4 linked regions of the Pelodiscus sinensis genome follow. The protein of the gene in region 1 interacts with the protein of each later gene in a biochemical or structural test. Links are inferred from orthologs where the notes say so. Each region holds a gene or a part of one and is shown in the gene's direction. Other genes may lie near its edges. The genes, in order: RB1, CCAAT/enhancer-binding protein beta, CDK6 and UBTF.

Region 1 (7,344 bases):
AAGTATTGACATGGAGAACAAATATTTAATAATGGGCTCCTGAGTATAGTGGAGAATGTTTAACACAAGCCAATGGCTGCATGGGTAGTAAGTGAACCTTGGGTTGGAGAGTCAAGCCTCCAGCCTTGCTTCTTTTGCTCAAGCCCTCTACCCAATAGCAGTCAAGCCCTCGCCCCACCACAGGGCAGGCCTCCAGCCCGCCATGTGAACCCTCCCCTGGTCCTAGAGCAGGGGGAAGACAGGTGGCATGCAATCACAGCTTCTGCGTGGCTGGAGCTGGGGGCAGCTCCAGAGCAGCAATGAAGCAGGGGTGCTGTGGAGGCCAAGTGTGGGCAGGGCCATGCCTCAGTCTTGGACGGCAATGCCTTCCCCTGCTTCTTGTACCCACTTCTTATGAATGAATTTTTTTAGTTTCAACTTCCAGCCAACCTGGAAATAAGGTGTACATTTTTAACACTGGAAAAATGTACCAAGTATTGTCAGTGATGGAGATTGCTCAACAATGTTTACATAAGATATATACGGTAATAGGAATTATTTTGGGGATGACTTATAAGAGAGGTCAGACTAGATGATCACAATCATTTCTTCTGGTCTTAAAAATCTATTAATTCAGTTATCTAAAGAAGACATTCAAAGAGTATTCAATTAAATCTGTCCTTTAACTCACCAATTTCAATACTTATTAACTGTATTATGGTAGTATCTACAGGTCCTAACTAAGATTGGATCCTCATAGTGCATTGTTTCATAAACATATTAAGAGTCAGTGCTTTCTAGAACATATCATTACCTAAATTAGACAGAGAAAAGTGTTGGGAGAAAATATTATCTGATTTTATAAATGGAGAACTGAAGCAGGGGAAATTAAATGACTTTCTCTGTGTCTCACAGAAAGCCTTTGGCAGAGACAACAATGTATCCCAGCTATTTGAGATCTAATCCAGTGTTTAGCCATATGGTCATCTGTCCCTCCTTCAGCCTAGGTTTAAATCTGGTAACTAAAATGCAGAAGTGTATCACTAATTAATTTCTCATGTACTATATATATTTATATGGACTAAAAAAAACTCAGTTAAAATTACAAAAGCAAGCATTGGACAGTTAAGAAATAATACAGTAAAACTCCAATAGTCAGGCACCCGATTGTCCAGCACTCCCGATAGTCCGGCATCAAAATGGCAAGCGCTTCTGATGGAACCGGAACTGCTCAGGTCAGCTGCTCTTACCTGGGTCACAGCAGGGAGCTGAAGTGTTTTTCTAAGAAGAAGGGGAGGGGAATTGGATTACTTATGGCATCCTGGCCAGCTTCTGGAAAAGCTGGCCCCTTAGCACATGTGCTGGCTGTATCTGACCAATCGTAAGGTTGGGGTGGGGGAGTGGGATCGGGTTATAGCAGGGAGCAGAAGTGTTCTGCTAAGGGGAGGAGGATCGGGTTACTCATGGTGTCCCAGCCAGATGATTTGGGGGGGGAGGGGAGGTAGGGAGATTGGGTTGGGAGTATGCAGTACCTCCTGATACTCCGGCATATCCGATAATCTGGCACCACCTAAATCCCAAAGGTGCCGGATTATTGGAAGTCAACTGTAGAATTAAAGCTGCCCATGCAATTTGATTTGGCCCCCTTCTGCATATGCATTATGAAACAATCCTTTAATTATGTGATCAGGTACCCCTGTTTTCAACAGGAACCCTGCTTTAGCAATACCCAAGATACAAGATTAACATTATTTTAATGTGCGTGTGTATATGTAATTTCCTAGATCTTTTAAAGAAGAAACTAAAATAAAAAACATTCTTTTATATGAAATCATACCAGCTCCCCCTATAGATCATCAGCTGGACTGGAATCTTTAGCTCTACAACACAGACCTTTATCCCTTAATTGATAGTGTGGCTCCAGGCCAGCATACAGCAGCCATACCTACAGAGCGAGAACAAGGTTGGGTTAAAACCAACCTTTGCATACATTTTAAAAAAAAAACAACCTACCATCCTGCACTGTTTGAAGGATGGTTTACAGAATCTAGTCCTTTATGTGCAGTTAGAATTTTCTTTAATACTGAAGTTACTTGAACACATTCTAGATGGAGCTGGTAGCACTACCCACAGTTAAGGTTGCCTAAGAACTTCCTTGTAAGACCCAATTTTCAGTTGCTGTTAATGTTACTAAACCTTACTTGTTCAGGTTGAAATTTTTCAGGTGTCTGCCTCAGACAGGGGTATCGTTCAGGGAACCAGGAGAGGGCACGTACACCTCACACAAGGGGTGGGATGGTCCTGGGGCCCAGTCTCTGGGCATCCAGGGGAGTTAGCAGGGGAGGGCATGATGCCAGTAGCAGGGATCCAATCCCCCTGCATTCACCAGCAGTGGTGGGGGCAGGGAAGCGGAGTTATGCAGCTTTAGCTTGCTCTGCTTCCCACTGCTGAAAGTGAGGGTATGCCGCCCCTTCTCCAAGCAACATGCTGGGACAGCAGAACAAGCCGGGATAGTGTTGCTTCACTCCCCCCACTCCCAGCCACTGGGGGTGTGTGTGGGGGGGGGGCTGGACACCAGCTGCCAGCACCCTGGCCCTGCTTGTCCCCTGGGTTGCATTAGTTGGGGGAAAAGGCAGTGCAGAGCAAGGGCAAGGAATAGGAGGACATGGAAATTCACAAAGGTACCTGGGTGCCTTATAAATATATTTGTTTCTTTTCCCCTCTGCTTGTTTACTTTAAAAATAACATGAATGTAAAAATTGGTCTCCTCTGGATCTGCTACTGCTAGAGGACTTTTTAGGCTCCCAGCAGAGTGTACTGTGACCTCTACCTATGCCTCACTTGAAGAGCTCTTGGTCTTGAACTTTGATCAAAGACATCACTTCTCCCAAGTGTTCACTAACCTCTGGAGTTTCAAACTCCAGGCACCTCCATGTGTGTGTAACTCTGTAACCTGGACAGGCGGAACCAAACCGGGGATTGCTGTAGTTTAGCGCATGAGCTTCTAGTGCAGAGCTGGGGAATCTAAGGCCCAAGGGTGGGATGCAGACCATGGCTTGCCTGGATCGGGCCTTTGAGACTCATAGCTCCCCCAGCATTGGGGAGTCCATTGTGGCACTCCAGCCTCTCTGCTGCCCCACAGTGGAGCTGGAGCATACAAAATCTACTCACCTGGGCCTCCCTAGGCTCTGGTGTGTGAGGGGAACGTGGGGAGTGTCTTTCTTCTTCTCAGTTTGGGGACCAGTCAATGAGAGTTTGCCCCTTTTTGTTTTCTTTTTGTGTGTGCCCACCCTCTGATTTTTTTCCTTTGGGTCAGCAGCCCCTGACCCCAAAAAAGGTTCCCCACCCCTTCTCTACTGCGTGAGCTAAAACCCAGCTGGCTCTCAGGTAGGGTTGCCAGATGGTTTCCACAAAAATACCAGACACACTTGAAATTACATCAAAATTAACATTACATCTTATTTAGAAACTATGTCTACACTGGGAGCTTCTTGCGCAAGAACTCTTCCAGAAGAGAGAGTCTACACTGCCATGTGCTTTTGCGCAAGAGCATCCATGCCAGTGTAGACGCTCTATTGTGCAAGAAAGCTCTGATGGCCATTTTAACCATAGGGCTTTCTTGCGCAAGACATTCATGTTGCCTGTCTACACCGGCCTCTTGTGCAAGAACAGCTGCGCAAAAGGGCTTCTTCCCCAGCGGGAGTGTCAGAGTTCTGGCGCAAGAAGCCCTGATTTCCTACATTAGACCATCAGTTTACTTGCGATCACACGGCCAGTGTAGACAGGCAGCAAGTTTTTGTGCGAGATCGCACCAGTGTAGACCCAGCCCCAGACTTTCATATTTTCTGAATTTGTTTTTTAAACAGACGGCCCAAATACTGGACTCTCCCGTTCAAAACCGGACACCTGGCAACCCTACAGGAAGGCTGCAGAGCAAACTAATTCTCCCTGTAAGTGGTCGGACAGGACAGCTCAGCCCACAGGTGCGTGGGTTACAACGCCACTTGGCTCCTCCCTCCCTTCCCGCTCGCCCCCGCTCCCAGGCAGACGGAGCTGAACCGTCTATAGCTTCTAGGAACGTAACTGGCAAAATAAACTGTTGACAACAACAAACCAGGTCCGCTGAGCCCCGCCCCTTCGGCACCACCAGCAACAGCAGCCGGGAGAGCCCCCGCCCCGACAGTCATCAGCTCTTCTATTGGCTAAGGGAAGTGGGTGACTTGATTGGCCGAAGGGCTTGCGCTCAAGCCTCCGTTGCCAAGACTCCGAGTTTCTCTTCCGGGTTCTTAGCCTCATTCTGTGCGCAGGCTCCACCCCCTTTGAATACGCTCCCTGTCCCTTTCACCCCTCTCTGAAGCGAGTTGTGGGCTGGGAAGTGACGCGTACGCTCCGCCCGGTGGGCGGGGCGGACGTGACGTGTTTTCCCGCGGTTTGAGTGGTCGCTGTTGGGAGCCGGTTTGTCCGTTTCTCGTCTCCCCTCTGCGGTGCACGTTTAAACTTCGGACCCAACAGTTGCGGCTCCGCGCGCCCTTGCGCGCGCCCGACCGACATGCCGCCCAAGCCCCCCCGGAAGGGGGGAGCCGCCGCCAAGGGAGGCAGTACCCCGCCACCTCCGCCTGCCGCTGCCGCCAGGTGAGAGTCGCCAGCCGCTTCCTCCAGCCCGGGCTCTAGCCCCCGCGGCACCGCTTTTCTGCTGCTCCGGGAGCGTCCCGGGTGAGGGCAGCTCTGCTCTGGCGAACGCGGAAGCCCTCGCCGCTTGGTTGCGCATCCCTGTGCGGGGTGGCTGGGAGGCTGCCTGCCCGGCTTGGGGGGGGATGGCTGGTACGGTACTGGGCGCTGCTGAAGACGGGTCCGTAGGTCCCTGGTGCTCGCGTGGGCAGAGGTTGCTTTGGCCGGAAAAACAGCCCGTTGGTGTCCGCCCAATCGGCGGTGCCCGCTGGGCGAAAGGCTCCCTTAGCCTCGCTGGTGCTGGGGCCTGTCAGCTGTGGCCAACTGCACACTCACCGCGGTGTGAGATGTAACAGCGAAGACCTGGCTCTGACTGACGAGAGGCTCGAGCAGAGGTTAAGCATTTTATGCTGATGGAACCGTAGGATTGGCCTGTTAAGATTCAGGCAGTAGAAATGTGAAAGGTAATGCAGGGTCCTGCCTGGGTTCCTGATTGCTTCCAGCTCTTTGGCTCCCAAGCTTTCCAAGGTCTGCTCTAGTGGGCTCACCTTTAAAGGACAAAAATGTGCTGCTTTATCTGCTACAGATAGATGACATCCGATGTGCATGCATTCAGCATTTCAGGATTGTATGAGTTTTAGATTAGAAATTCCAGTGTAAAACCAATTTCTTTGGTTCCCTGCTAGTCACTGACCTTCCTTCAATCCATTCCTGGTTCTTGGGGTCATAAGTAGAGACCTGTACAACTGAATATCTCCTTTATAGCCATTGACGTTTGTGGATCAGATGTGGATGCAGATGCTCAGTAAGATGGGTTTTCTCCAGAGAAATGTCACATTCTAGCTAATGTTTTATACTTTATAATCATATGTGATACATTTTCATTTAAATGAACCTGATAGTTAATCATCCATTTCACTCTCTTTTAGGCTTGAGTTTGGAGAAACTGGCTTTATTGCACTGTGTGACACACTAAGAGTATCAGACATTGTGAGAACAAATGCTTGGAAGATGTATGAAAAAATGTCCCCTACTGATGGAACTTTAGTGAGTACTTGGTAGAGTTAATGCTTACAGTGACTTGATTTAAAATACTGAGCTCTGGATCCGTGCTTAGCCTAACATGTTGCCTTAGCCAAGAAGCAAATTGGTAAAAATTGCAAGTTATTTTAAAATGGAAATGCTACAGTGGTATCATTCTGATGCAGGTTTATATCAAGGTCAAAAAGTACAAAGGTTGCTGTGTACACACATCTGTGTAGATTAACTTGCATAACCTCACCTTCACTAAATATGCCAATTAAAAAAACCCCTTTAGTTCACACTTACTCTAAATGGTAGTTAAACCAGCACTATGTGACTAATCACATCCAGACCACATGTTATAGCTGTTCCCCACTCTGGCACTCCAAGTGCGGAAGATGAGGGCCTGCACAAGACTATATATACCTTGCCTCTGTAGCCGTGGTCACTAACCCATCAATTGTGAGGCATTTGGGGCCTCCCCATTTTCCCCCACCCTCAAGAAGCCCCACTGTCCATCTCCAGTGACCCTGCAGGAAGCCGGTGCTACCTCCATTGTGGATAGGAGTCCTGCAGCTGCGTGCCACTTCTGGGGTTTCAGGAAGTGTGCTGGCTGCACCCCCTCCCCCAAACAGCTAGTGCGGTACCAGACCCAGGTCTGTGGCATGCTGGGGACTTCCTGCGGGGGGCTAAGGGGGCGGAGGAGTCCCTGGAGGAGGGTGTATGCTGGAATGAGCTCCCCCTGCAGTGGGTGGGGGAGGCGGGAGGATGTAAAAGTCTCTAGAGCAGGCGAGTGCTGGGATGAGCTTCCCCTGCAAGAGGGAGGGGGTAGGAGTCCCTGGAGGGAGGCAGAGTGCTGGGACGTGCTTTCCCTGCGAAGGGGAGGGGTCCTTGGAGGAGGCGAGTGCCAGGGACTCCTTGTTGCCTGCCACCACCAACACCCTGTCCCCTGCTGCAGCACCCACTGACAGCCTGCTACCTGTCCCATCAGCCACTGGTGCCCTGCCTTAGCACCCTGTCCCCTGCTTCAGCCCCCACTGTCACCCTGTCCCCGTCTCTAGCATCCTTCCCCAATACCATGTCCTCAGCTCCCACCAGCACTGTTGGGGCCACATTAGTGAGGTTGGGGGGTTTTGGAGAAGGTTTGTGTGTGGTGGTGTGTGTGTTTTTTTTTTTTTTTTTTTTTTTTTGCATCTCACTTGTGTGGCCCCAACTGACTTTTCTGTGGATCAGTGACCCCCTGACTCAAAACAGGTTCCCCATCCTTCTCGTACCCAAATCCCTCATTCCCACCTCAGAGACTGCAGCTCCTGTCTCGACCCAGTGAATACGGCTAGACTGCAGGAGTTTTTTTCCGAGATACCAGAGGTATCCCAGAAAAACTCTTCTGCATCCAGAACATGTTTGTGCTTCTGCTTTTTTTTAGCCGAAGAGCAAATATGCTCTTTCAGCAACCCCTATATTCCCTGTTCCAAGAGGAATAAGGGGGCTTCTGAAAGAGGGTCTTTTTCCTGACATTTGGCCCAGTCTAGAGAGGCCAAATGTTGAAAACCTCTTCCTACAGAAAAATCAAGGGGGGGAGGGAGGGAGGGAAAGGCGGCAGTGTAGCCATACCTTGAGAGAGTATAAAGGCCAGGGGTAGTAAGTGATGGAGAGGAGGAGAACAAAGAGGAC
Region 2 (6,843 bases), on another chromosome or scaffold:
CAAATGCAGTCCGACTCTTACTACAGAGCAGTAAATAGTGACATTTTGGTAGGCAGAACTTCCTATGAACTCTTCACTCTTTGATCTGTTGGCATTATACAGTTGTGGTCTGTCCAACGCTGACAGCAGCTCTTTCTGGACTGTAGAAAGATATGGGAATGCAGAATTGGAGATCTTGGAACCACTGTAAATCAAGATAGAGCAAGTCTCTGAGTGAAAAGTTTCTGCAATGCTTTGGCATGGATCTGAGCTTGGGAAAACATGGATCTGAGCTTGGGAAACCAGGTGCTCCTGTGATGCTACAGTAGAGCTGTGAATCAGGGAGCAGAATCCAAGATAGGCTGGGAAAACCAGAGGCTGTGTCTACACTGGCCACTTATTCTGGAAAATCAGCCGCTGTTCCGGAATAATTTGCCAGCTGTCTACACTGGCCCCTTGAATTTCCGGAAAAGCACTGACGATCTACTGTAAAATCATCAGTGCTTTTCCAGAAAAACCATGCTTCTCCCGTTCGGGCAAAAGTCCTTTTCTGGAAAACTGTTCCAGAAAAGGGTCAGTGTAGATAGCACAGATTTCTTTTCCACAAAAAAGCCCCGATCGCGAAAATGACAATCGGGGCTTTTTTGCGGAAAAGCGCGTCTACATTAGCACGGACACTTTTCCAGAAAAAGTGCTTTTCCGGAAAAGCATCCTGCCAATGTAGACACGCTTTTCCCGGAAAGACTTATAATGGAAAACTGTTCCGTTTTAAGCATTTCCGGAAAAGGGTGCCAGTGTAGACGTAGCCAGAGTGATCTCTGTAAAACAGATCGGAATAGGCTGTGTTCTCTTTGTCTTTTTTCTTTTATATTCATTTTGTTTCACTCTTTCGCTGTTTGCATCCATCTTCTTCAAACAAAGCAGTGAGAACTTGTGTTTTATTGCATTAGAAATAGCTGGTTGGGAATTGGGGGTCATTCTTTCTTTCTTTCTTTCTTTCTTTCTTTCTTTCTTTCTTTCTTTCTTTCTTTCTTCTCTCAAAAATGACTTATTTTGAACAAAAAAAAAAAAAAAGAATAAAATTCAGGCCTTCCCCATCCCCACAACAAAAAATATTCTAAACAAGCAGACATTTACTTCAAAAAATGTCTTCTTGTCAGTAACCCAGTTTTCTTTCAAAAATGTTTTCAAAAACTTTTTTGGATGAGCCTTAATAAAAAGTGCTGCAACTTTCACTTTCATCTTGGAGAAAAAACCAGAGCTCAGCACCCTCTAATAGGAGCATCTACTTCTCAATACCTGCATAGAACAGCTTTCTAGAGCAAAAACTCCTGAAGAGCATGAAAACACAGAATGTGAATATAAATAACCATAAAAGCAGCCCTGGCTCACTGCAACTTACCAATATTTCCATTGTGTAGAGATGTTTGGATCTATACAGATATAGGCTCAAGTCACAACATTCAGATCCAGACCTGAATCCAGGATTCTTTGTCCAAGCTCGGCTCTACAACTAAGGCTAGGTCTAGACTACAGTCCTTTGTTGGAAAAAGCTACGCAATTTTTTTTCCGATCACTTTTCCGGAAGCGGCTTTTCTGCCATTTGGCCCAGTCCAGATGGGGCCAAATGGTAGAAAAGCCTCCTCTTTTGGTGGATCCCTTATCCCTTATAGAACGAGGTATTCAGGGTTCCCTGAAAGAGAGCATTTGCTCTTCTGCAAAAGAAGGTGGAAGAGCAAACACATTCCTCGGACGTGGCAGAGTTTTTCTGAGGTATCCCAGAAACCCCCCGCAGTGTAGACATACCCTAAATGTGCTTATTAGTAAATGTAATTCACCAAAAACTACTGCATAAAGACAGAAATATTGGAAGTCTACAAACCTTTTAGTGTACCTTTGCTATTGAAGTTGAAAGAAAGAAAGAAAGAAAGAAAGAAAGAAAGAAAGAAAGAAAGAAAGAAAGAAAGAAAGAAAGAAAGAAAGAAAGAAAGAAAGAAAGAAAGAAAGAAAGAAAGAAAGAAAGAAAGAAAGAAAGAAAGAAAGAAAATGGTTCATAGCATGATTTTTGAATTCTTCCTCTTTTCAAAGTCTGAGGTTTGAACATTCATGAACAGTTGACTGTTTGAATTGTATAATGCAATACCTGTTCCTCTGGCTTAACGTTGCAATATTTCCCACACCGCAGGATTGCTTCACATTATTCTATGAGGCAGTGTCATTTTCTCTGCAGTACTGGGTCTTCTTTACTGAAATGAAGGACACTCCTACTTCCTTTAATTATATGTTTTGTTTTAAATTGATGTCTTTTATTCTGAGCATGAATCACCAGCTTGTATACAGGTAAATGTGGGAGTAACAGGGAAAATGTAAGTTTGATTCCCAAAGTGGGTATCTTTAATTAAAATAGGCATAAAAATTTATTCTTACAAATTTACCATGGCCTCTCCAAATCAATGCTACTGTATACATTAATATATTAATAAATCATTGCATCCTGTCCCTTGACACAAATATATCTCACTTTCCCCCATTTATTTTAAATACAGTTCCTTAAATGTGGGAGTAACAGGGAAAATGCAAGTTTGATTCCCAAAGTGGGTGTCTTTAATTAAAATAGGCATAAAAATGTATTCTTACAAATTTACCATTGCCTCTCCAAGTCAATGCTACTTTATACATTAATATATTAATAAATCATTGCATCCTGTCCCTTGACACAAATATATCTCACTTTCCCCCGTTTATTTTAAAGACAGCTGCAAGAGCACAAACTCCATATCACTTGTGTACTCTGACAATTGCAACATACTACATAAGGCAAACACGCCAGGCCAAACATTAAGGCCGTCAGCCCTGCACACAGAGGTGATGGGGGAGTTTTGGATTTGCCTACCATTTCTAATTGCTGGTCTTCTTCTGAGGCAGTGCCTTACCCTGGTTTGCGCCCAATACCACATGCTTTTTACACCCACTGTGGCAAGCTAGTTCTGAATGTGTCTGTATGGGATAATTCTGCTTGCCAGCTCCATAAAATTCACAGAGCATTGAATTGGTATTAAGATCTGGCTTCTATTCCTGGCTCTACCTCTGATTTGCTAAGTTATCTTGGGCAAATCCCTTAACCTCTGTGCCTTAATTTCCCCGTATGTAAAATGGGGATACAGACACTCACCCACCTCAGTAAAACAGGTTGAGACCTACAGACGAAATCTACAGATATCATAAGCCTTAGATGCAATGGATCCAGCTCCTACTGGCCTTTGCTAGCCACATCTGGCCATTTGCTAGTCCCACAGCTGGACACCCAGTGGTTTGCATTGGGGAAGCAGGGGAAAGAGGCTGAAATCTGGGGAAGAAGGATGGGGGGGAAGGGAATCTGGTATCTGCTTTTCCCCCTCCTCTCTGAGGACATATTAGATGGGAGGAGAGGGGCAAAAGGGTTTAGTCCATATTGATACATGGGCAGATGCAACGTCCCCCTGTGTGAGCTACTGTGTCCATGTCGGAAGGTCCCATCAGGAGTGATTATAGTCCAGTGACATCGCCTGTAGATGTGACAGCAGCTGGCAAAAGTATAAGGCGGTTTTCCCTGTCTCTGGCCCAAATCTTCCCTCCCTTCCTTGAGGGTGAAAACGAGCCCCCTCGGCTGCGACGCCTGCCCTGCTTCCCCGGTGAATGACGAGGTCAGAGTCCCACACGCCAAGTGCCTCCTGCGGAGCGAGAGGCACTCGGTACAACTGTACAAAGTGTGCACCATGTGGCAGCCAGCCAGCCAGTGACGTCCCTGTTGCCATGGGATCCACCGCCCCTATAAATAACAGCAAAGGAACTTTCCTAAGTCAGAGACTTTAGGACTCGGACCTAGAACCAGATGGTCCGGAGAAAGAGAAGCAGCCGCCGCCGGATCTGAGCCAGCCCAGGTGGGCAGCACAGCCCAGAGACCGAGGCAGGATTTGGAGGCCCCCGCATCACCTTCGGCAGCTTGATCCCGCGGCTGGGGGGCCCCCTGCGCTGTCTCCTCCTCCCTGCACTCCCCTTTGCTTTCATGCAACGCCTGGTGGCCTGGGACCCAGCATGCCTCCCTATCCAGCCACCCGCCTTTAAATCCATGGAAGTAGCTAATTTCTACTACGAGGCGGACTGTCTGGCTGCGCTGAGCAAGCTGCACCCGCGGGCGGCAGGGGGCCGCTCCATGACCGAGCTCACCGTAGGGGACCACGAGAGAGCCATCGACTTCAGCCCTTACCTGGACCCCTTAGCAGCATCCCAGGCGCCGCCGCCGCAGCCTCCGCCTGCAGCAGCAGCAGGGGGCAACTTTGAGCCTCCCTGCAGCAGCGGCGCCAGCCAAGATTTCCTCTCCGACCTCTTCGCCGAGGACTATAAAGGCGGCGGCAAGAAGCCCGACTTCACCTACATCAGCCTGGCCAGGCACTGCCATCCGGGCGCCGGCCAGGCCCATAAGCCGGGCGGGCTGCTGCCCTGCTTCCCGTCCCAGATCGTGGAGACCAAAGTGGAGCCGGTCTTCGAGTCCCTGGACTCTTGCAAAGGGTCCCTGAAGGAAGAAGGGGGCGCCAGGCCGGGCGCAGGGGGCATGTCCTCCCCTTACGGCAGCACCATGCGCTCCTACCTCGGTTACCAGTCGGTGCCAAACGGCAGCAGCGGCAACCTGTCCACCTCGTCCTCTTCCAGCCCCCCCGGCACCCCCAACCCGTCCGATTCCTCCAAGTCCGGCGGCGGAGCGGGCTACGCCGGGCCGCTGGGCTCCAAGAACAAGAGCAAGAAGAGCGTGGACAAGCACAGCGAGGAGTACAAGCTTCGCCGGGAGCGGAACAACATCGCGGTGCGCAAGAGCCGGGACAAAGCCAAAATGCGCAACCTGGAGACGCAGCACAAAGTCTTGGAACTGACCGCCGAGAACGAGCGGCTGCAAAAGAAAGTGGAGCAGCTCTCCCGGGAGCTGAGCACCCTCAGGAACTTGTTCAAACAGCTGCCCGAGCCCCTGCTGGCCACGTCGGGCCACTGCTAGCCCCTGCGCTGGACACTGCTAGAGCCGCAGTGGTTGGGGTTGGAGGGGGAGAAACTGGGGAGGAAGGATGGGGGAGGGGGCGGTCTGGTAGCTGCTTTCCCCCCTCTATGAGGACAGATTGGACCGGGGCTGGGGAAGACACGGGGAGAGACTTAAAGGTTTGGTTTGTTGTTTTTTTGTCTTTTTTTTTTCTTTGCAATCCGGTGGAAGAAACTTCCGCCGCAGCCTGAGTGTTGGTCCTAGGAGGGGGACTCCCCTGGCGGGCGCCAGGGCCCTCCGCATCTTGTGGCGGAATGACAGTTGCCGATGGTAATTTTTTTGTAATGTTACAACCCCACCGAGGCACCCTTCCCCTTCCTCTGTCTGTGCAGAGTTTGTTGAATGTTCGTGTTATTTAAAACAGAGCGAGAGAAAAAGCAGAGAATGATGCAACCCTTTAAACATGGCTGGGAATGCTGCGTACACATGATGCAATCTCGTGTAACTGTCAGTCATGGATTGAGTAATCTGTTAAAGATGTTCCTGCGGTTTTTTTTATTATAAAGAATAATTCTATTTCTATACGAAAATACATATGTATATTTTGGGATCTATAGACATTCTTGCTACATTTGAAGCATTAATGAACAATTTTAATAAACTTTATGGCTAGGAAAAAAGAAAGAAAGGAAACTTGTTTTATTTTAAAGGCACTTTAACGCCAGAATGAAATCAGTTCAAATGCCAGCTAGATCTGGCTGTGTCAGGAATCATTTTGTTGGCCTTTTGACTCTCTCTGTGACTCAGCAAAAAAGAAAAAAAAATGAGAGAACCAGAGAAGACCAGATGTGGGAACCACAGCCAGTTCCCTCTTGCTGCCTCACTTAATTTCCTCTAACCCCTTGAGTTAAATTCTGCTTGGGTTTTTCTGAAATACTAATAACTCTCCCCATTCAAACCATGAAAAATGTTTGACAAAGTCTCTCCAAGCAAAGGACAAGATTAAAGCAGGGGAGAGGTTGGAGGAAAGAAAAAGAGAAGGAGAAAGCTTGAAATAAGGTGGGATTTTTCTTTAAAGCTCAAGTTTTTGTAGTCTCTCAGTTTCATGACTCAGTATTTCTGATGCTGGGGGTTTTACAGCAATGAACAGTGATAACATGTCATTTTTGTGTTGGATGGCTGTGAACTGGGGACCTCTCACATAACTAGGCTCAGTGAGAAATGTGTGGACAATGCTCCCTATAATTTCCTACTGAGCCTTCTTTTTAAAAACTGTTTCTAAAAAATGCTGCTGATACAGTTGAGTTCTTGAAAGGTGAGTGCGGTGGTGATGGTAGTGAATGGGTCAGGTGTGTGGTTTGGGTAAAAGGTTGGGTATAGGAGGATGTATGTATAGAGCCCTAAGGACTTTGTGACAAAGATAACAGAGGCTCTGCTAGCAGATGTGGGATTTGTCGAGGTCTGTGAGTTGCACATGTCTTGGCTCTCTGTAGTTTGCTTTTGTGTACCTGCCTGTAAAATATTATTTTACAGCCTAGAGCTGATTACGTGCTGGGAGTTGGATACATGTTCAGGTCTTATTCAGCATTTTCCAGCATACTAGACAGACTCTATGCACATCCATCTTCTAAATCCAGATGTCAAAAACTACCAGGAAAGAACTTTCTTAATCCTTCTATAGCTGTACTTTACAGTAGGATGCAAATGTTCTGTTTCCTTAATGGTAATGGATCTGAACTTGTTTTATGCTTTACTGTAAAGGATAGTGATTGGGAATGGGTGTGGAGCAGCCTTGAATTTGGTGTTTACGGATATTGATTTTACTCAAAAATATGTAGTATAACGAGGGAGTTGTTTTT
Region 3 (7,201 bases), on another chromosome or scaffold:
ATTTTTGCTTTATGTCTACACTTCATTTAAAAGTAGCTTTTAAATTGTTTGTTATTTGTTATACAACTTCCCACACAAATGTATAACGCAGTTACTATTAAATTAAGAATTTATTATGTGAGTTCAACATTATCTGTGATAAAGTACTGAGTTAGGGGATATCTGCATATATAATAATTTTAAACAGTAGGTGTTTTATTTACCAAACCTCTTTACACTTGCAAAAGGTTATGTTGCTCATGATTTTACAATTTGTGCTCATGTATTATAAAATCTGACTACCAAAAGATGCTGCAAATAAACATGATCTGTTGTACCACATCACTTGATATGGGGCTATTCTGGCAAAATAATAGTTTCTCAGCTATGTAAGGGGTTTTCTAAGTACTAATGCCTAACTACATGTTTAAAAACCATATCATATTAGTTAAAATAGAAGATGCAGACTAAACAAAACTAAACCAGTATGAAACGGTTTAAACAGAGAACCTTATTCTCCAAAACCCTCTATTCAAATGTGTACTTTTGAAGTGCAAGTTTCACTCTGATTTGAATGTGGACTTCTTGTAACACCAAGCTCTGGAATCCCCAATAAAATTTTAGCTGTTCCCTGAACCAGTTAAAACACCAAACAAGCCAATGTAGCTTTCTTTCTGAGAGTCTTAAACTATTCATAGCACTTCTATGGTATTGCATGATGCCAGATTATTCAAATAAACTGCTGTAAGAGCATATTAATTCCAGTAATTATTTGTCACCTATTGTCACATCATCAGCTTTTTCATTGCTTCCAGCAAAACCTTAGAGACCTCATTTATGAATGTGTTTTGTAGTCCTTAAAGCAGCACATATGATTTTGAAGTCTTAGTTTTAAGGTGATTTAATTATATTTTAATGTATATTGATTATCAATAAAATAAAAGAAAATTGCCCCCACTGACATATCTTTCCATATAAGTTGTTTTTCAGAAATAGGGTTTCACAAATAAAATATTCATGGATTAAAAGAAAAGTAAGATGTGGAGAAAGTTCTCTTTTTTTCTCTTTCCTTCCTTTTTAGGAGCACCCCACGAACTAATTTTTCAGTACAACAAAAACTTTGGTAATAATTTGAGTAGACTTAGTAACTACTCTTTGAATTTGTTTCTTAGCAACAATATTTAATGAACTTTCACTACACCAGTGCCCAAAAATGGATGCAGATGTGTTTGTAATATAAATTAATGAAGAGATTTAAAACTAAAAAAGGAATATGAAATGTATTGTTATCTGGATTATAAAGCTTCCTGATTTTGAGAGACGAACAATACATTTTTAAATATTTGAAATCAGAAACACTGAAATGTAAAATGTCTCATGAAAAAGGAAAAGCAGATATTTTAGTAATATTTTCAAAAGCAAAAAATTAAACAGGATTATTTTTATTTCTGGAAATATATGCTGTTTTGCTGGTTCGTAATTTTTCCACAAAGCATGTTATATGAAATTACTTTATAACTTTATATCTATTAACGATTTAAACCGTCAAATAATTTTGCAAATTTGGACAAGTAGTTGCTTTTTGTGCTGCAATTTGTTTTGCAATATTGTCCATTTTTACTTGACTATTTATATCAAAATATATTTTGAAATTCTTCCTGAAATCACTTAGTTTTTAGGCTCATGAAATCTATTTAACCTCACTTTAGAGATGTGTTTGTATCATGGGAAGACTTCACAGCAGGATTCAAGGTAACTCAAGCAGCTGGCCTTATAGGTGGAAAGTTATACACACACACAATTAAAAAGTACCCCATAGTACTTTCAAAATGCTCTCAAACATTCCTCAAAATCCTATAAAACCAAGTATAATATAGCAAATTCATAATTGTATAGTATGATATAGAGGGTTTATTGGCATCTATTTAGAAGAATGAGTAACATATATTATTCCTGGCTTCCCCACTCATTAGTATTGGACCATCATAAATTCATGCAGGCAAAACATGTATACTAAACAGAGCAACCAAATATATTCTCTATTAAGTATCTTTGTAGAGAAAGCTTTGAGGATGGGTTTTGTGATGTGCAAAACTTAGTAAGGTAAAATGTTAAAATTGCAAATTTGAACACAAAACTTGCATTGAAAATGGAAAACATAAGGGCTTAAAGTTATCCCACACTGCATGTGCTGAATATGAAGTTGTATATGTAACTGATTCAATGCCTCTCACAGGCAGTCTTTATCAATAAGATCCCAAGAAAAACCCAGCTGGAATTTAAAGCTACCTTTCCCATGTGGAATCCACTAAGTAAGACAAGAAGCAAATACTGCTGCCTGTCCATCCTCAAAAGTGAATACTGTTACAATCAGAGATGTTGATTATGCCCTATGTATATGAATCTGGTCCAAAGTTTTGAAGTTGGAAAGGAAAACAAAAATATTAGCGTGCAAAAACTTGAAATATTAAAAATATGGAAACAATAAGCCAAGGCAATGGGCATGCAGATGTGATGAGATATCAATGTTCATGTCTAGAATTATTTTTAGAAAAAGTATTAATATGCATGTATTTGAATTGTATTCAGATTATCTTATTTATATATGCTAAAGTTTTGACATTTTTAACTAACTTTTTGGGTATATGTAGTTCTACCAATTTTTGTCACTTGCTTTAGCAAGCAATCTTCACTTTAATTTAACAAAAACATTTGGGAATTTCCAGTTTATTAATTTAATACACTACAGTAAGAACACAAATTTGGTTCCTGTAAAACTTGCAATGTATGCATGGACTTCTGCAAACTCTAGTGCACAGCACATAAAACTTTATTTGCAGAAAAGTACCAGTTATTTGGCACAAAATTCCATTTCTCCTCCCAAATGAAATCAGGGGTGTTATGTGCATTTTTTTTCTCAGTAGCTTCAGTCAGAGTGAGGCTTCTAAATGTTCAGAAACAAGGATGGAACCTTGAAATTTATTTGCCCTCGTTTTTGGAATGAGTGGTAGAACCAGCTCCATCGAGCCTGATTTCAGCTGACAGCTGAGAGGACATGTGAAGTTCGTTTAAAAAAAATAATTGTGTGAATGTCTTTCTGTACTGAAGTATTTTAATTATATAATATTATGTACACAAAACCATATGTGCTGAGATATTTTCAGGACATAAAATATATTAATGCATAGCAGTGTGTTCAATGTCAATAACTTCATCACAGGATGACATCTGCACTATCTCCATGAACTGAATGATAGTTGTACCGTTGTCTTTCCAGCTAGCCCATCCTCCATCTCCACACAAAAAAAAAAAAAAAAAAAGTGAGCAATCTTGGGTTCCAACTGGTTTAAGCGCCACATGAACTGATTCTCATTAGTAACTGAATTCCATAATTGTCCTTGAGGTTCTGTCAAGAATTTGGTGGAATGGATCAGCTGGGAGGGGAATGAAGATCAAGAATCCCAGATGTGTTTCCCAATCCTGAGAGAGTAGTTTGGCATCTGTTTTCTGCATTCTTGTGCAGCAAATTCCAATATTTGTAGGAATCGGCTTTATACAAAGTGCTCCCGGCAGCACTAAGCGTTCATTTCCCCCTCTCCACTGTAAGCTCTTTGGGGGCAGGGACTGCTCTTTGTTTTTGTCTTGTCAAGGTCAAACACATTGTGATTGCTTAGCGAAATAATAATAAAGCCCGGGCCATGCTTCATTTAGTAATATTTATTATTGGGTGTCCGTACCGCTGTTGCCTATGGGGCCCTTTGAGGGGCTCCAGCAACATAAATAATTATTATTGTGCTTATAAAGCACCTAGCAGAACAGTACCCCAGTTATGACCGGGGGTCCTTTGGCGCTGCCTCAGAGCAAATAAGAATCCTCCGAAGGTTTTTGCTCCCTAATGATGTCTCTCGCTTTCCCCCCCGGGGTGCATGCCTCTGGCAGTTGCGCTAGCGGCGACCCTTGCGGTATGTGGCTGCCTTTGGCAGAGGCACATGAAGGATTTCATTGAGTGTGAAGACAGAGAGCAGAGACAGAAAGCAGAAGGAGGCGGCTGCAGCCTTTGTAGTCGGGGAGGAATGCGGAAATGTTAAAGCACTATGTCAAACTTTTTTGAAACGGGGTCAAGTCACATTCAGCCAGCGTGGGAAAGCAAGGGGAAAAAAAGTTGAGGGGGGGGGGGGGGGCTTGCGAGCTGTGCTGCCGCCGCTGTTCTCAGAGAGAGCAGGAGCCGAGCGAGGCTACAGAGAGAAGCAGCGGCAGAAGGCGGCGTGGAGGGCTGGTTTCCGAACCCCGCACACGGGGGAGCCCTGCAGGACTTTGATCCGCTGCAGCCTGGCAAACGCGGGACTTTGAGTCACGCTTTTTTTTTTTTTTTTAATTTTTTTTTTTCCAAGCGGGAGGGGAGGAGGGAGGGTGGCGGGCCGAGGCTGATCTGAATTAAAGCTCCCTGGGCAGGAAGGTGCTGCAGGAGGATGCGAGGGGAAGGCAGCAGCAGTAGAGCCGAGGAGGCGCAGTTGCTACCTGTGTGGCCCGGGGTGCTACAGCAGAGACCTGCTGGAAGCATCATGTGAATATTTATTACCCGGTTCGGGTCTTGGCTCGCGGGAAGCGAATGGGAGGTTTGCCTCCAGGAAGGTGACCCCCCCCTCCTCCCCCAGCGGGAGATTATCTGGGGCTCGTGCGGCGATCGGAGCAGCGTGGAGCGGACCAGGTAATTTGGAAGTGGCCATGTGCTTCCTCTAGTCTAGTGTTACTGCCGAGTGCTCCGCAGGCCCCCTTCCCCGCTGGGTGGCTTGCGGCGAAGGGGGGCTTCTCTGCCTCAGGCGGCGTGATTGTGAATCTGGGGCTTTGTGGGGGGCCGGCCCCCCAAGATGTTCATCCCTGGCGGGAGGGGTGTAATTGCTGCCGCCCCCCCCCCTTCCTCCCCCCCCCTTCCTCGCCTGTGTGCGTTCTTAGTAGGGGATGGGGGCAGGGAACCGCCGTGCATGTTCCCTGGGCACGAGGCTGGGGGGGCTTCACGCCTGTTTTCGGGTGTTTCCGTGGGTGGCTCCCCCACGCTTCTTGTGGGGACAGTCCCCCTGTGCCGCCGCCGCCGCATGCATCCGCATGCATCCCTATTGGGCTGGTCGGGGGGAGGGGGCTCTCTGCACGCCTTCTCCCTCGGGGGTGCTTTTGTCCGTCCTCCGGCCCCATCCCGCAGCGTCCTCGCTGGGGAATTCGTGCGAGGGGCTTGCCCGGGCTCGCAGTCCTAAAACGTATGTTTCCAGAGGGTGATTCTCGGCATTCAGGGCTGGTGGGGGGCTGGTTGCGGGATTCCCCCGCGCGCTGTCCGGGGGGGGTTGATGGTGTGCCCCGCGGGCTGTCTTAACGGGGAGACTGGTTGGGGGTTCCCCCGCGGGTTGTCCTGTTGGGGGCATTGGCTAAGGGGTGCCCCGCGGGCTGTCCTGATGGGGGGATTGGCTGGGGGTGCCCCGCGGGCTGTCCTGGTGGGGGGATTGGCTGGGGGTGCCCCGCGGGCTGTCCTGGTGGGGGGATTGGCTGGGGGTGCCCCGCGGGCTGTCCCGGTGGGGGGATTGGCTGGGGGTGCCCCGCGGGCTGTCCCGGTGGGGGGATTGGCTGGGGGTGCCCCGCGGGCTGTCTCGGTGGGGGGATTGGCTGGGGGTGCCCCGCGGGCTGTCCCGGTGGGGGGATTGGCTGGGGGTGCCCCGCGGGCTGTCCCGGTGGGGGGATTGGCTGGGGGTGCCCCGCGGGCTGTCTCGGTTGGGGATTGGCTGGGGGTGCCCCGCGGGCTGTCCTGGTGGGAGGGCTGGGTGGGGGCGTGCCCCGCGGGCTGTCTGGGGTGTCCGTAGGGGGATTCCCCCCGCGGGCAGTCCGGGGGTGGGCCGGGGGCTGCTCCTCCGGGGCACGGATTCTGCCTGGAGCAGCAGTTGCCGAGGCGAAGGGCCCCGCGGCGCAGCAGGAACAGCTCGGGCCCCGGCGCTTGGAGCCGGAGCCGCACTGCGAGGCCAGGCCCGGCCCCCCGACCTCACACGCGCGCGCCGTGGGAGGCTCGGAGCAGCCGCTCCGCCCGCGGCACGCAGCGGCCTGGCCGCGCGGCACCTTCCTGCCTTCGGCGGGTCAGGCAGCTGCTGCTCCGGAGCAGGGGTGAGCCCCTCCGCGGGGGCATTTCACCTGCTAGCCCCTCCCCGCACCCCTCCCCCTTCACTATCTTGCTAGCCCCTCCCCTGCACACCTCCCCATCACTAACCTGTTAGTCCCTCCCCCCTCCCTCCCCATCAGTAACCGGCTAGCCCCTTCCCTGACCTCCTCCCCACATCGCTAACCTCTCCCCTGCACTCTTCCCCAGACCCTACCACTAACCTGCTAGCCCCCGCCTACACTTCTTCCCATCCCCTCCCCTGCAGTCCTCCTCACTCCCACCACTAACCTGCTAGCCCCTCCCCTACACTCCTTGCCCTCTTCCCTGTACTGTTCCCCAGACCCCACCACTAACCTGCTAGCCCCACTTCTGCACTCCTCCCTCCTCCCCTGCTCTCCTCTCCATCACTAATCTGTTACCCCCACTCCTGGACTCCTCTTGACCCACCATTAGTGACTTGCTACCTCCTCACCTGCAGTTCTCCCCACCCCCATCACTGACCTGCTACTCCTGGACTCTTCTCAGACCCCCATGACCTGCTACCCCCTTACCTAGTCCCCTTCCGTTATTGACCTGCTAACCCTCCTGGGATTCTCACTTCCCTCCCCCCACCCTCCATATCATTGAGCTCCTACCCCCACACCTGGGGATCTACCCACTCCCATCAGTGACCTTCTCCCTTCTTCTCTGGACTCTTCCCTCTAGCCATCTCCAACACTGAACTGCTGCTCCCTTCCCTGGGACTCTCATCTCCTCTGCTATGACTCAGCCCATCCTCATCCTGCTACCCTCTTCTATAGGTCTCTGCTCAGCCAACCCACATCTCCGACATATTGTCCCCCCATTCCCAACACCGCACTGGTACCTCCTGCCTTGGGACTATGTCCCATTCCCCCATTCCAAACGCTGAGCGAGTACCACCCTTACTTGGCATTTACTTGCTACTCCTCCTCTCCCTTTGTACCAACCCTGTAACCATATAGTCCTTTTCATGCCTTGCAATCCTATAGCATTCCACTTGCTCCCATTTTCTGCATCATATTGCATCCTTCAAACATCCATCTCATCAAATAATATATGTCAGTC
Region 4 (7,320 bases), on another chromosome or scaffold:
GTTACATTTATAATCGTTTCTGTAGGATTGTGTTCTGCTCCATGGAGGAGGACTTCCAGGTGCTCAGTACAACGGGGTAATTACTGTCAGCATCTTCACTAGGACCCTCAGGGTCCAGGGTCAGAGGAGGGACAAACCTGAGGCTTGGAATAGGAGAGAAGTTCATGGCCAGACTCCAGGCTGGGGTTGGTACCCAGGGACCAGGTCAGATTTCAGGCTCTGGGTCAGGAGGTAAAGTCAAAAGCCAGGCGTTCAAGACCAGAACAGCAGCTACAGACAAACCACATGACCTGGATGCTTCTGGGAACGCCTCCCAGGTTTAAATAGGTCCGGGAGCCAATCAGGAGCCATGGGGCTGCTGCCTGTCAAACCCCGGAGGCGGGACTTCCCATAGTTTGTATGCGCACTGGACCCCAGAATGTTGGGACCTGCCTTGTGGCGTGTACACAGCTTGAAGTAGCAGAGACGTTCATGGCCAGACTCCAGGCTGGGGTCGGTACCCAGAAGCCCCACTCCTTGGGGAGCCCAAACTGGATTTTCCAGTGGCAGCCACCGAGAAAGGTGTTTCGGTCTGAAGAGCTGGGCTTGAGCTGATGGAGGGATTCCCTTTTGATGCAGCAGACAGGCAAGAAGGGTTGGAAAGTCTTTGGCTTGCTAGGATCCCATAAGACTCATGCCAACCTGGGCTAAGGCTACAGCCTCTAGGACCGGGGTGGGGGACCTAAGGCCCCCCGCCGAGGCTCAAGGCTTCTCCCCAGATTGGGGAGCATATGCTGGGCTCCAGCCCTGCCTCCACAGGACTGGAGCGCCCACAAAATCTACTAGCCTGGGCCCCTCTAAGCTCTGGTGTGTGAGGGGAATGTGGGGAGGGTCTTTCTCTTTCTCAGGTGAAGGCCACATCTTTGGTTTTTGTTTTCTTTTGTTTTGCTTCTCACTTGTGCGTGTGGCCTCTGAACCAAAAAAGTTTCCTAACTCGTCTAGGAACTTGTCTTGTTTGGTGCTTATCCTCTCTGTGCCTTTTGTTTTTGTTTTTTGTCCTTACAATAAGTGTACTCTGCTGGGACACTGCTGTGGGGTCCCTACTAAAAGCACAGGCATTGTCTTCCAAGGCTACGTCTACACTGCCAGATTTTGCGGCACAAAATATGTGAATGAGGGACTCATTTCCATGAATTGCAATCTCATTTGCGTATTTTCTGCTGATCCGTTTTTGCGCTAGGGCTTTTTGCACAAAAACAAGCAGTGTGGTTGTTTCCTTTTTGCGCAAAAACCCCTTTTTCCGCAAGATCCTTATGCCTCAAAAAAGGAGGTATACCAATCTTGCGGAAAAAGGGGTTTTTGCACAAAAAGGGAAAACACTTTGTTTTTGTGCAAAAACGCTTAGCGCAAAAATGGATCGGCAGAAATTATGCAAATGAGATCATGACTCATGCAAATGAGTCCCTCATTAGTATATTTTCTGCCGCAAAAACTGGCAGTGTAGACATAGCCCAAAGGAACAATGTTTTGGTATGGACAAGCCCTCAGACTTTACTCCTAGGCTGTGTCTACACTGGCAAGTTTTTCTGGAAAATCAGCCGCTTTTCCGGAAAAACTTGCCAGCTGTCTACACTGGCCGCTTGAATTTCCGAAAAAGCACTGACGATTTCATGTAAAATCATCAGTGCTTTTCCAGAAAAACTATGCTGCTCCCGTTCGGGCAAAAGTCTTTTTCCGGAAAACTGTTCCGGAAAAGGGCCAGTGTAGACAGCACAGTAGTGTTTTCCGATATTCCACGCTTAGCCTCATTTGCATATTGCTCGCACAAGAAGCCACGAGTGTAGACATAGCCTAAAAGTGCAGAGCGTGGTAACCAAAATGATTAGCATCTGAACAACATCTGCATGAGGAGACATTGAAAAGCCTGGGATTTTTCAGTTTGGGAAAAGAGATGACGCGAGGGAAATGTGGTAGAGGTCTATAAAACCTTGACTGGTGGGACAAAAGTGAAGAGGGAAGTGGTATTTACTCCTTCCCATGACACAAGAACCGGGAGTCACCCAATAAAATGTAATAGGCAGCAGGTTTAAAACAAACAAAGGGAAGTACTTCTTCACACAGTCGACCTGTGGAACTCATTGCCGCAGGTTGTGAAGGGCAAAACAATACAAGTTCAAAAAAGAAATAGATACAGCAATGGATATTGGTGTCGATGGTCAGGGATGCAACACTAGGATCAGAGCATCCCCAGCTTTTGAATGCCAAATGCTGGGAGTAGATGCCAGGGGCTGGAAATGTTGATGGTTGCCTGTTCTCTTCATTCCCTCAGAAGCAACTGGCCTTAGCCTCTGTCAGAAGACAGGGTCCTGGACTAGATGGAATATTGGTCTGTGGTTGTTTTTATGTTCTAATATTACATGTGCACAAATAGATGCTTTATCAGTAGTAGCAAGTAGTAGCAATCTTTACCAGTCAGCCTACCACACTAGCTGGTTGCAAAAGATACTGCGATAAATATTTATGTTCACAATCACACCTCAGGGCACCCATGAACATTGGGGCCTGTTGTGCTGTGCACAATATAAGCACATAGGGTACATCTACACTGCGGAGCTATTTCAGGATACCCGAAGTATCCTGAAATAGCTCTTCTGTGTCTATTGAAGCAGCCAGTTATTTTGAAATAGATTTCGAAATAACAGGCGGTTTATTCCAACATCCCAGTTACCCTCATTCCGCGAGGGTTAAGGGGAATTTTGGAATAGCGAGCTATTTCAAAATTTGGCACTGTGTAGACAGCACCAAATTGCAAAATAAGCTATTTTGAAATAGCATCAAAATAAGCTATGCAATTTGCATAGCGCGAATTGTGTAGCTTACTTTGAGCTAAGGGTGCTGTGTAGATGCACCCATACTGAGCTCTTCAGAGTAAGCATTCTCTCTATCTCAATAGACATGACCAGGTAAGATTGGGAGAGGAAATAGAGGCACAAGAATGTAACGTGCCCCAAAGCCCGCGTAGTCGGGAAAGCGATTCCAAACATTTTTGAAAAAAGTTTAGACACTGACAAAATGTTCAGTTTCGACAACTTCTCAATGCAAAGGTTCCATTTTGTTTCCAAACAATTTCTCAGTGAGAAATGTTGAGTCATAGTTAAAAAAAATTAAAAGCTAAAAAAGATCTAAATTGAAACCAAATGTTTTAATTTACTTGATCCAATTTTTTTTTTCAGATTATTTTCGTTTAAGGACATTTGAGCTTTTTGACCTTTCCTACCTATTTGTAGGAATTTTTTTTAAGGTTCCAAACCTACCATGGAACGGGAAGATCACCTTCAGCCCAGCATTAGGATCATCTATATGCCCACAAAAACAACACAGCAGAATTATTGCGTGTGCACACAGCTTGTATCCAGAATGAAAGGGGTAGGCCTTCACCCTCCTTAACATTTTTGACTCATCTTATGTGGAAAAGACAAGAGGTACATTTTTAAGGTTTTCACAGAGAAGGATCACTTTGAAAAGCTACTAGCCCCTAGGTGAAACAGGGGTATCTGTTTAAGACACCTCAGTGACAGGACAGAGTTTTTAGAGCAGGAAGTGAACAAGGCTGAAATCCATGTAGAATTGTAGAATTTTATCCACCCCCCCATGTTAACAAAGATAAGACTTTTATTCCAAATTCCTTAGTGTAGACAAGGCCTAAAGATACTGTTTATATTTTGGTTCCTTCCCCAGACCTGAAGAGCTGTGTGTAACTCAAAAGCATGTACTTTAAACCAACAGATCTAATAAAAGATATTACCTCACTCATGTTGTCTCTGGCTTAGTACTCTAGCTCCCACTTCATTACCAGCATGTTTAAACTAATCTGCATTAATCTGTGGTAACAAAACCATGTATACACTCAGCAGTGCTGTCTGACAACCCCTTTACATTTCTCCATATATAAAAAAATATCCCTGGTGCCTGATACATATCTAATGCAACAAGGCAGGCAAGCATTTGCACACAGTGTTATGGGAATCCCTGCATTGACAGCCAAAGCCAAACCATGCAGCACCCTCCTGGTCTCACATGTATAGGCCTTAGAGCAGGTCCTCCCACTCTTCCCCCCCAAGAGAGCTCATAACACTTAATTGCTTTTTTTTTTTTTTTTGGTCTGTAGAAGCCGCTTGCTTATTGGGATTGCCATTAATTTGACAGGCAGATCCCAGACAGGGGATTGGCTAGCAGCAGATGACGCCCATAACAACAAAGGTGGAGTTGGAAAAATTAGATTAAAAAAAATTGAGGGGGGGGGGAGGAAATGGAAAAACTCTCCCTTCACCCAGCCCCCTCCGGCTTTGAAATATCCAAGAGTGTCAATTTCACGGTATCGTTAACAAATCCAGCGGTTCACGCAGTCCGGGAGGAAAGTGTGAATTTCACTCTCGACCTGTTTGTGCATTTCCTGGTGCAAGAGACACACAACAAAACTCCCCATTTTTTTCCCCGTCTCCTTCTTCCCCGAGAGCCTGTTTACAAGGCAGCCACTTGCAGTGTAGTTCAGGTTCCTTCTTTTGCGTTGGTGCAAATGTCTGTCCCCGCTCTCGGAACTTGACAAAGAAAATCTGAATTTTATTTTTGTGCATAGGTGGAACTTTAAAAAAAAACTTATTTTTTTTCGTGCTATTCGAGGTGGGTTGTAGGAAATCGACCATGTGAATTTTTGGTGCAAACGTCAGAAGAGGATTGTTGCAAATGTAAGCTTTTTTTTTTTCCTCCTTCTCTTTCCCTGTCTCTCCCTCCTCCTCCTCCTCTTCTCTTCTTTTGGCTACAGTGTTGCAAAAGCAAAGAGCAATAAACACGCACAGAGAGAGAGCGAGAGAGTCAGAGAGAGACAGACACACAATCCCGTAAGAGCCAGAAGAGAGTGAAAAGAGACGAGACCGATTTCTCTGACAATTCCGTTTAGGGAGCAGATGGAAAAGTGGAGACTTGTGAAGGGCTGTGAGGTTGGCTAAGGATCCAGGAGCGAAAAGAGCCCGGCTGATTGGAAGAAAAAAGCAGAGAGATGGAGGCGGGGGAAGTGCAATCTCTCTGCGGGGACTGGAGCGAGTCCACGCCCGGGGCCAGCGCTGCAGAGCTGGCTAGCATTCAACCAGCGCTCCCCAGCTAAAGCACCCAAAAAAAGCCGTCCCCAAGCGCCTTCTCCAGCCTGGCTGGTTTGCAGGTAGGTGCATTTCGAAAAAAAGACCCGAGACCTCCAGCAGTAAACGCGCCCGATGCAGCCCCCTGTTGCAAGGGAGGGTGGGTGGGAGAAGGATCAGGGGGAGGGGGGAGAAGGCACGATCCGAGGCTACGCTGGCTGCACCGGGCTGCTTTGCTGCAGCAGGAGCGCATGTGGAGCTCGCCATTAGCCGACGCTCTGGTTCGCCATCTGGGGCTGGAGGAGGCGCTTTGTTTCCTCCACAGGCTCCGGTGGTGGTTGGCTGCAGCAGCTGCTGCTGCTTCCCCCCGGTTGCAGACTCGGCGGCCGCCCGGCTTACTCGGTGAGGGGAAGGCGCTCGGGGGAGCAGGCAGCGGGGATCGGGGGGCTTTTTTGGGGGGTAGCGCGGGGAGATTTCGGGGCGGGCGGCGCGGGGTTGGATTTTCCACGCGCTCGCAGCCCGGGCAAGGCCCCGCGGCTCGCCAGGCAGGAAGCGGCGGCTCCGGGAGCCTCGGCCCGCCGGGGATAGGCGCGTACAAAGCGGCTCCCGAGCTGCTGCAGAACCGGACCCCCCGGAGCCGCGGCGGCAGGGAAGGGGGCGCAGCCGCCGCCGCGCGGAAGGGGGGACTGCACGAGGTAGCAGCGTGGCCCCGGCCGGGCAGCCGCGGCGGGATTTCGGGGGTGGGCTCCCGGGGCCGGGCGGTTGTCCCCCCCACCCCCCCCATCCACCCACCCCGTTCCCCTCCGGAGCTGGGGCGGTCGCCGTCGGGCGGGTGCGTGCCCAGGCTGGCTCCCCTCCCCGGCGGCCGCGGGGCTCCGGCCCCCCGCTGGGCTGGGTGGTTCTGGGCCGGGCCGCGCTCCCCGGGGGTCGGTGCGGGGAGAGGACGCGCTGCCCTCGCCCGGCTCTGCGCGCTGCGGCGGCCCCGACGCCCCCCGCCGCCGCCTCCGCCCCTTCCCCCCGCGGCTCCGGCGAGGCTGCGGCTGCCGCGGCGGCGAGTCCTGCCCCCTCCCCCTGCCCTGGAGGTGGGTCCGGCGGGCGGCTTCCGCGGCGCGCTGGCTGCAGCCGGGCTGGGCGGCGGCGGGGCGGGCGGAGCCGGCCAGTGTCTGCCCGACGGGCCCGGTAACCGGGCGGCCGGGGAGGGTGGCGAGGTGCGGGGGCCCCGGAGGGCCCGAGCCTCCGGGGGGCCGCGCGGCGCCGGGCGCCCCCGGGGTCTGCCCGCCGGGGCGAGGCGGGGGCCGGCGCGGTCCGCGCGGCGCCGGGCGGGCGGGCGGGGGAGTCGCCGCGGCGCCCGGCGGAGGAGGCCGCCTGCTCTCCCCGGAGGGGGTGGGGGAGGGCGGCGCAGCGGCAGCTGCTGGCGCGTCGGTCCCGCCCGGCTGCCGCTGCCTGGTGGAAGAGGAGGAGACTGGCGCTGGCCTGAGCTGCGTTTGGGCAGGGGCTGCGCAGGGCACGTGGGGATCCCTCCCCCCGCCGTCCGGGCCTGCCCCTCCCCCCGCCCGGGGATCTGCCCCCCCCGCCATCCGGGCCTGCCCCTCCCCCCGCCCGGGGATCTGCCCCCCCCCGCCATCCGGGCCTGCTCCTCCCCCCGCCCGGGGATCTGCCCCCCCCCCGCCATCCGGGCCTGCTCCTCCCCCCGCCCGGGGATCTGCCCCCCCCCCGCCATCCGGGCCTGCCCCTCCCCCCGCCCGGGGATCTGCCCCCCCCCCCCGCCATCCGGGCCTGCTCCTCCCCCCGCCCGGGGATCTGCCCCCCCCCCGCCATCCGGGCCTGCTCCTCCCCCCGCCCGGGGATCTGCCCCCCCCCCCGCCATCCGGGCCTGCCCCTCCCCCCGCCCGGGGATCTGCCCCCCCCTGCCATCCGGGCCTGCTCCTCCCCCCGCCCGGGGATCTGCCCCCCCCTGCCATCCGGTCCTGCCCCCCCCCCCGCCCGGGGATCTGCCCCCCCCCCCGCCCGGGGATCTGCCCCCCCCCTGCCATCCGGGCCTGCTCCTCCCCCTGCCCGGGGATCTGCCCCCCCCCCCCCCGCCATCCGGGCCTGCCCCTCCCCCCGTCTGGGGATCTGCCCCCCCCTGCCATCCGAGCCTGCCCCTCCCTCTCTCGGAGATCTGCCCCCCCCCCCCCCCGCCATCCGAGCCTGCCCCTCCCTCTCTCGG

The links.
Region 2: the proteins of RB1 (region 1) and CCAAT/enhancer-binding protein beta form a complex in vitro, tested with the Homo sapiens proteins (2 studies listed by BioGRID, with this or other methods). The link is inferred for Pelodiscus sinensis from reciprocal best matches to the Homo sapiens genes RB1 and CEBPB.
Region 3: of the proteins of RB1 (region 1) and CDK6, one has a biochemical effect on the other in vitro, tested with the Homo sapiens proteins (9 studies listed by BioGRID and IntAct). The link is inferred for Pelodiscus sinensis from reciprocal best matches to the Homo sapiens genes RB1 and CDK6.
Region 4: the proteins of RB1 (region 1) and UBTF form a complex in vitro, tested with the Homo sapiens proteins (2 studies listed by BioGRID). The link is inferred for Pelodiscus sinensis from reciprocal best matches to the Homo sapiens genes RB1 and UBTF.

Annotation. Positions count from the first base shown.
Region 1 is NC_134711.1:288,849,391-288,856,734, forward strand, and holds the start of RB1 (retinoblastoma-associated protein), read left to right. Parts: upstream 1-4,330; 5' UTR 4,331-4,528; coding exon 4,529-4,611; intron 4,612-5,576; coding exon 5,577-5,694; intron 5,695-7,344. UniProt on the Homo sapiens protein: Tumor suppressor that is a key regulator of the G1/S transition of the cell cycle. The hypophosphorylated form binds transcription regulators of the E2F family, preventing transcription of E2F-responsive genes.
Region 2 is NC_134728.1:19,311,937-19,318,779, reverse strand, and holds the start of CCAAT/enhancer-binding protein beta, read left to right. Parts: upstream 1-3,823; 5' UTR 3,824-4,024; coding exon 4,025-5,005; 3' UTR 5,006-6,043; intron 6,044-6,843. UniProt on the Homo sapiens protein: Important transcription factor regulating the expression of genes involved in immune and inflammatory responses. Also plays a significant role in adipogenesis, as well as in the gluconeogenic pathway, liver regeneration, and hematopoiesis.
Region 3 is NC_134712.1:213,392,777-213,399,977, forward strand, and holds the start of CDK6 (cyclin-dependent kinase 6), read left to right. Parts: upstream 1-4,188; 5' UTR 4,189-4,687; intron 4,688-5,081; exon of another isoform or gene 5,082-5,231; intron 5,232-5,985; exon of another isoform or gene 5,986-6,120; intron 6,121-7,201. UniProt on the Homo sapiens protein: Serine/threonine-protein kinase involved in the control of the cell cycle and differentiation; promotes G1/S transition. Phosphorylates pRB/RB1 and NPM1.
Region 4 is NC_134739.1:7,330,246-7,337,565, forward strand, and holds the start of UBTF (nucleolar transcription factor 1), read left to right. Parts: upstream 1-4,307; 5' UTR 4,308-4,724; intron 4,725-4,751; exon of another isoform or gene 4,752-4,936; 5' UTR 4,937-5,194; intron 5,195-5,334; exon of another isoform or gene 5,335-5,513; intron 5,514-7,320. UniProt on the Homo sapiens protein: Recognizes the ribosomal RNA gene promoter and activates transcription mediated by RNA polymerase I (Pol I) through cooperative interactions with the transcription factor SL1/TIF-IB complex.